Linked DNA regions of Saccharomyces cerevisiae S288C. Each later gene encodes a partner of the first gene's protein in a complex. Each region holds a gene or a part of one and is shown in the gene's direction. Other genes may lie near its edges.

The links.
Region 2: the proteins of VPS74 (region 1) and SAC1 are in contact, whole or in part, in a crystal structure (PDB 4TU3), measured with the Saccharomyces cerevisiae proteins. Residues at the interface, in NP_010660.1 of Saccharomyces cerevisiae: Ser164 (codon at 2,012), Gly165 (codon at 2,015), Glu166 (codon at 2,018), Thr167 (codon at 2,021), Trp168 (codon at 2,024), Asn169 (codon at 2,027), Leu170 (codon at 2,030), Leu171 (codon at 2,033), Lys172 (codon at 2,036), Ile173 (codon at 2,039), Gln176 (codon at 2,048); in NP_012710.1 of Saccharomyces cerevisiae: Gln9 (codon at 2,051), Tyr69 (codon at 2,231), Ile95 (codon at 2,309), Ser97 (codon at 2,315), Thr98 (codon at 2,318), Lys99 (codon at 2,321), Phe100 (codon at 2,324), Asn101 (codon at 2,327), Ser102 (codon at 2,330), Arg103 (codon at 2,333), Ile104 (codon at 2,336), Ile112 (codon at 2,360), Glu116 (codon at 2,372), Lys120 (codon at 2,384).

Annotation. Positions count from the first base shown.
Region 1 is NC_001136.10:1,220,553-1,223,671, reverse strand, and holds VPS74 (Vps74p), read left to right. Parts: upstream 1-1,522; coding exon 1,523-2,560; downstream 2,561-3,119. Other genes in the region: PHO92 (mRNA-binding phosphate metabolism regulator), read left to right, coding at 1-198; FRQ1 (frequenin), read right to left, coding at 341-913; CTS2 (putative chitinase), read right to left, coding at 2,724-3,119.
Region 2 is NC_001143.9:32,517-36,930, forward strand, and holds SAC1 (phosphatidylinositol-3-phosphatase SAC1), read left to right. Parts: upstream 1-2,026; coding exon 2,027-3,898; downstream 3,899-4,414. Other genes in the region: DOA1 (Doa1p), read right to left, coding at 1-1,591; TRP3 (bifunctional anthranilate synthase/indole-3-glycerol-phosphate synthase), read right to left, coding at 4,183-4,414. UniProt on the Saccharomyces cerevisiae protein: Phosphoinositide phosphatase which catalyzes the hydrolysis of phosphatidylinositol 3-phosphate (PtdIns(3)P) and phosphatidylinositol 4-phosphate (PtdIns(4)P). Has low activity towards phosphatidylinositol-3,5-bisphosphate (PtdIns(3,5)P2).

The DNA of each region.
Region 1 (3,119 bases):
AAAGTAAGATGGGTGATCGTGCGTGATATAAATAACAGATCGTTAAAAAGGTTTTTGATACCATCCAATGAAATGAAACCGATAACACATTCCAGAGATACTCAAGAAATTCCATATTCGATTGGAATTTCAATAATTAATCTATTTAAAACTCAAGATTCTGATATTTTCTCCTTCTTGGATGAGACGTATGAATAGACCTTATCCCTCATTTATCAACATTTTATTCTCATTTATTATTAGTATTATTATTATTTTTAATATTATTTTTATTTAAAATTATCCTAAAATTACTTCTACTGTTATAACATCCAATCCATAAGAAGCAAAAACAAAGTTTTCATATTAAGCCATCGTAAAGGTTTAAGGCACCAATAATAGAGGGATCGACTTTAGAACCTTCTCTGAATTCGTCCAGCGTAATGTAACCATCTTCGTTCTTATCCATCAACTTGAAGATCTTCTTTACCCTCATTTCGGGCGTTGCCTCATCCTCATTAAGTGTAACCATAGACCCCATCATTTTATAAACACTCGCCACAATGGTTAGCATTTCATCAAATGTAATATATCCATCATGGTTCAAATCATAAAGTTCGAAAGCCCAGCTCAGTTTTTCCTCCAAAGTTCCTCTGGACGTTGTACTCAAAACTGTGATAAACTCTTCAAAATGTATGAATCCATTGTTGTCTTTATCAAAAACTGTAAAAAGGTGATTAGCAAAATCTTCAGGAGAACCAAATGGAAAAAACTGTTTGTATATCTTAACAAAATCTTCCCTAGCTAGTTGGCCACTAGGGCAATCCCTCAAAAATCCTTTATGCCATTGCTGGATTTCTCTTCTATCAAAATAGGTGGATTGTTTCAAACATGTCAGGTCATCTTTGGAAAGCTTTGACGTCTTGGCTCCCATTTTTTTTTTGAATCAAAAACAGTTTTCAAGCACAAAATAACTCTCGCCGATTCTTAAACTAGCAACAATTATAAAACAGGAGGTAATATCCCTAGTTCATCAGTTCAATCGTTGACAAATTAAACATTATTTCAGTACTCTATGGTATAATAATAAAAAATACACCGAAGAGTTACCCTTTTTTCGTTTTTAATGATCAATTCTGGCTCATTTTTTTACTTCCTGAGCAGTCAACTACTACTGAAAAAAAGAGGCTAATGGGTACGCATTTACCTAAAAACAATTAGATCCCTGCCTTGGATCGTAATCTTGTTTATCTATCCTTTTTGGACATTGACATCTATTTGTGTCGCAGTTAATTGCTTTCTGGGTACGTTGACTTTTTCAGTTCTATATCGGCCCGTTGCTTACTCTGTTCAACTCACTTATTCTTTTGTTTCGGTTTGGGCTGCTGCATTTATAGATTAAAAATAAATTTCAAATTTCCACGCTAACAAATAGAGCTAAATTAGCAGTTTCATTGTTGGCTATATTTTCATTACAACTTTTGATCTGATAACGTAAAAGAATTCAAACAAAAACTATCTAAAAAAATACAAAGCAAAAATCATGTCTACTTTACAACGTCGTAGAGTCAATAGGGCGGATTCTGGAGATACTTCCTCCATTCATTCTTCTGCTAACAATACCAAAGGAGACAAAATCGCAAATATTGCTGTTGACGGGGATGATGACAATGGAACAAACAAAAAGATTGCATATGACCCAGAAGAATCGAAATTGAGAGACAACATCAATATCCCTACGTTAACGTTGATGGAAGAAGTCTTATTGATGGGCTTAAGAGATAGAGAAGGATATTTGTCGTTTTGGAATGATAGTATTTCATATGCTTTGCGTGGTTGTATAATTATAGAATTAGCGTTAAGAGGTAAAATCAGAATCTTAGATGATTCCGCCAGGAAAAGGTTCGATCTTTCCGAAAGGTTGATTGAAGTTATTGACAGTTCCAAAACTGGGGAAGTTTTACTGGATGAAACTTTGCAATTGATGAAAAACGACGAACCTTTGTCAATTTCTAACTGGATTGATCTTTTAAGTGGTGAAACATGGAACCTTTTAAAGATCAACTATCAATTGAAACAAGTAAGGGAAAGATTGGCAAAAGGTTTGGTCGATAAAGGTGTATTGAGAACAGAAATGAAAAATTTCTTTTTGTTTGACATGGCGACACACCCCATTGCAGACGCCAGCTGCAAAGAAGCCATTAAGCGCAGAGTACTTTCTGTACTCGTATCGAGGAACATGGAATTAAGTTACAATGAATATTTTCCGGAGACAACATCTTTCAAAATCATTAGAACTTTAGCTTTAATATGTGGATCATATGGGGCAAACGTATTGGAGAATGTCCTGACTACGTTGGAATATGAGAAGAGAGATAAGGCAATTAGTAGAGCTGAAGAAATAATGGCACAATTTTCGCAATACCCATTTGATTTAGAAAAGGAAACTGAGTTAGGTGTCTCCGTTAATTTAAACAAGGAAGTTAAAGAAGAGATAGAAAACAATCCTGGTCATGATTTACAATTGGAAGTTATTGCTGGTGTATTTGAAGTCTTTTCAAGAATGGATATGCTATTATGAAAATAACAACAAAAATCCTCTCTTTGAAACATAAGGAAAAGTCAAGCTTTTTTTTATAAGCCTCTAACATTAATAAACGAAATTTGTATATATGTATATACATATACGGAGTGGATAATAAATAGACCAAACTTTTTGTTATTATATACGCCCACATTCGTATTCATTGCTTTCTTGAATCCAAATGCTTTAAATATGGAGATAAAAATCCGCCATCGCCATATTTATTCAAGTAATATTTTTTAACTCTCACATCTTGAAATATTGATGGTTTTGATGACACATTAAAGTGCAAGCCTTCATTAAATGCGTTTATCAACGACCTTGACTCATTTGCATAAGCTTCACCACATGACTCCCACCAAAAGCCTCCGCCTAAATTGTTATGTGTCACATATTCAGCCTTAGTTTTGACTGATTTAGTGTTATCATAACTGATAAATATTGAATTTTTTTCATCAAAGCAATATGCTGAAACATATTTTGGATCGTATTGTTCTATTGTACCAATCTTTGGTAAATTTTTGTAAGGCCAGATGCCCTCCTTGCCATCAGCTTT
Region 2 (4,414 bases), on another chromosome or scaffold:
CCCAGTTAGATCTTATAGTGTTAGCAAATGAAAGTAGCAACTCCCAGCTTTCATCTATGTCATGTAGTGCGCCACCAATTTGCGCCAGAATTTCATCATCAAAGGTCTTCTCATTTGAATTTATTTTTACTATTCCATTGAAAATAGTATCTGGGTTATAATTTTCCATGATAAGATACTGCTTGACAGGAAGAACCTTCATTACGCTCGTTTTTGAAGGTGATACTGCAGAAGATGATGCATTATCGTTGGGCTGGTCTAGCGATATGCCATTAGTGTTCTTCAGTATGAACTGTACTACTTGATCCCTATAACTCATTGGCAGTTCATAACGAGCCAAAAAATTGTCGGCTGCTGTATATGGGTTGTCGCTGACATTAATCGGCAATTTCAAGGGAGGTTTTCCATCTTCAATATCCACATCAAATACGTAGTCATACGTTTTACCCTCGAATTCTATTTTTTTGTCGTTTCCAGTAGCACCTGCACCGACAACATCACCAACCTTTTTCCATGAAGAATTTGAAAATTGATGAGCTTCTATAGTACCTTGAGGTGATTTGACTACCACAATTTGACCCTCTTTGCGCCCCGGCGATTGTAAAATTTCATAAGGTGATAGTTTAGACTCATCAAATTCTATTGTCTTGGAACTTATAGTGGATTTTTCCACTTGCGTAGATAGTTCATTTATTTCATCCTCGGAAGCCCATCTTGACTTCTCTTGCGAAAATATTCTCACAAGATTATCACTACTTCCCACAATAATATCACCATTAGACATACAATCAACGGACCAAATAGAGATGGCAGGAAGTGTAATTACCTGCTTTAACGAACCATTTTCCTTTGACCATATACGGACTGTTCGGTCTTCGCCGCAGCTTACAATATCTCCATTGGGCAGCAGTTTAATGCAATAAACAAAGCTTTCATGGCCTTCATATGTTCTTAGTACGTCACCTGTATGCATATCAACCAACTTGATGAGGCCATCGTTTGAACAACTGATAAAATGGCCATCATCCACCACAGCTAAATGTCTTACTACATCATTGTGAATCCCACTGAAAGTTTTGATCACTTTATCGTTTTGCCACAGTTTAATCGTCTTATCGGCGGAAGCTGTCAAGAATTTATTTTCTGAGAAGGATACGACTTTGGCATCCCATACAGAGGCATTGTGTGCTTGCAAATTGTAAACCAACGATCCTTCTTTCCAAACCTTTGCGGTTTTGTCCCAACTACCGCTTATCACAACACCATCTTGGAAGGATAAACTACAAACGTTCCCTTGGTGGCCAATCAAGGTATACAAGGGATCCTCTCCTGAGGTGGCAAACAAGGGCACACCGTTGATCATAGTATCCTTACCTCCAAAAAGCAACAACTCCTTCTCGGAATCATAACACACACTATTTAAAAATCCTTGTCCTGTATAAACTACCGTACCGAGCCATTGGTCATCTTTAGACCACAAGCGAACTGTTCCATCCCTCGAAACACTAGCAACCTTTGAATCATCCACAGCTACCACATCCCTGACGTCCTGATCGTGCCCTTTAAGTGTTGCACTCAATTGATATCCCATACTCCAAATCTGCTGCTCTACACCTTACTATCACACATGAATATATATATATAAAATAAGCCAAGACAGTGGCCTTCCCTTATTATCAGCGTACTAAAATCTCATATGATTTATTTTTCGTGGTCCTGAACGAGTGTGAAAAATTTTGAAAAACTCGCAAAGGAAATGCCAAGGTCAGCAACTTTCTCGACGTCCAAGCCTCGCTCCTATTGTTTTAGTAACCTGTAGACCTTCAATATTCAAGAGCTTGCACACGCACGCATTGCTGCACTACTGCTTACCCACACTACAAATTTAATTCCAGCTTATTGAAGTTGAAAAGGCAAGGGAAAAATACCACAGGTTTAGATAAGGAAATAGGAGAAAGGATTAGAAACCATATCCCTATAACAGTAACGATAATATTTATATACACGTATATTTTCTCGTCTAGATATGACAGGTCCAATAGTGTACGTTCAAAATGCGGACGGTATCTTCTTCAAGCTTGCTGAGGGCAAAGGAACTAACGATGCTGTTATTCACTTGGCCAATCAAGATCAAGGTGTTCGGGTCCTTGGAGCAGAGGAATTTCCTGTGCAAGGTGAAGTAGTAAAGATTGCGTCCTTGATGGGGTTCATTAAGCTAAAGTTGAACAGGTATGCCATTATCGCAAATACTGTGGAAGAGACCGGTAGATTCAATGGCCACGTTTTCTATAGAGTGTTGCAACATTCTATCGTATCTACCAAGTTTAACTCGAGAATCGATTCTGAAGAAGCCGAATATATCAAGCTACTGGAGTTGCATTTGAAAAATTCCACCTTTTATTTTTCATACACATATGATTTAACAAATTCCTTACAAAGAAATGAAAAGGTTGGTCCTGCAGCCTCCTGGAAAACCGCTGATGAACGATTCTTTTGGAACCATTACTTAACTGAAGATTTGAGAAACTTTGCTCATCAAGATCCTAGAATTGACTCCTTTATACAACCTGTTATCTATGGGTATGCCAAGACAGTGGACGCCGTTTTGAATGCCACCCCTATCGTTCTTGGTTTGATTACCAGACGTAGTATATTTAGGGCGGGCACAAGATACTTCCGTCGTGGTGTTGACAAAGACGGTAACGTTGGCAATTTCAATGAAACTGAGCAAATTTTACTCGCTGAGAATCCAGAGAGTGAAAAAATACACGTTTTCTCCTTCTTACAGACAAGAGGATCTGTGCCAATATACTGGGCTGAAATCAACAACTTGAAGTACAAGCCAAATCTTGTTCTTGGAGAAAACTCATTAGATGCGACAAAAAAGCATTTTGACCAGCAAAAGGAGTTATATGGCGACAACTACTTGGTTAACCTAGTCAACCAAAAGGGCCACGAACTACCCGTGAAAGAGGGCTATGAATCAGTCGTGCACGCGCTAAACGATCCGAAGATTCACTACGTGTATTTTGACTTCCACCATGAATGTCGTAAGATGCAATGGCATAGAGTGAAATTGTTAATTGATCACCTGGAGAAATTAGGTTTATCTAACGAAGATTTCTTCCACAAGGTCATAGACTCTAATGGTAACACCGTTGAAATTGTTAATGAGCAACATTCCGTTGTAAGAACAAACTGTATGGATTGTTTGGACAGAACAAATGTCGTTCAATCTGTTTTAGCCCAGTGGGTTTTGCAAAAGGAGTTTGAAAGTGCCGATGTCGTTGCTACTGGAAGCACTTGGGAAGACAACGCTCCATTGTTAACTTCTTACCAAAACTTATGGGCTGATAATGCAGATGCAGTTAGTGTGGCATATTCGGGCACTGGAGCTTTGAAGACCGATTTCACAAGAACCGGTAAGCGTACACGTCTAGGTGCATTCAACGATTTTTTGAATTCAGCATCACGTTATTACCAGAACAATTGGACTGATGGTCCAAGACAGGATTCATACGATTTATTCCTTGGTGGATTTAGACCACATACCGCTTCTATCAAGTCGCCATTCCCCGACAGAAGACCAGTGTATATTCAGCTGATCCCAATGATCATTTGCGCAGCCTTGACCGTTTTAGGTGCTACGATATTTTTTCCTAAAGATAGATTTACCAGCAGTAAGAATTTGCTGTATTTTGCAGGTGCGTCGATTGTCTTGGCGCTTTCAACCAAATTCATGTTTAAGAACGGTATTCAGTTTGTCAACTGGCCTAAGTTAGTAGACGTTGGGTTCTTGGTCGTTCATCAAACGCATGATAAAGAACAACAATTCAAAGGTTTGAAATATGCACAGAGTCCTAAATTTTCCAAGCCGGATCCTTTAAAAAGAGATTAATGAGTTCTATATGTGATAAAATGATGATTATTGTAAATCCAAAACGTAAAACCGAAAATATGATAAAAACGAGAAAAAAAGTAAGTTAAAAAATAAAAAAATAAAAAAATGAACGCCGGCCCCAGAGGGAAGAACAAGCTATTTATTTTCTTTTTTACTTTATCTTTCATGGTCATATATATATATATATATATATATATATATCTTCTATAGGCTACTATACATGAAGGCGTTCGCCCTTACAACGTTAAGTTTTTTTCCCTATTGTACCGTGTAAGTTTCAATTATTCGCATAATTCATGAATGAACTTCTTCACATCGGTTGATTTCATTAGGGCTTCACCCACTAAAAATCCATGGACACCTTCTTTTTTGTATTTTTCAGCATCGTCCCTGGTGGTAATTCCCGATAGAGCAATTAGAAGAACATCCTTTGGAATAGATTCTACCAAGTTACTGGTGGTATTTAGGTCTACGTTGAATGAATGCAGGTCCCTATTATTGACACCTACAACT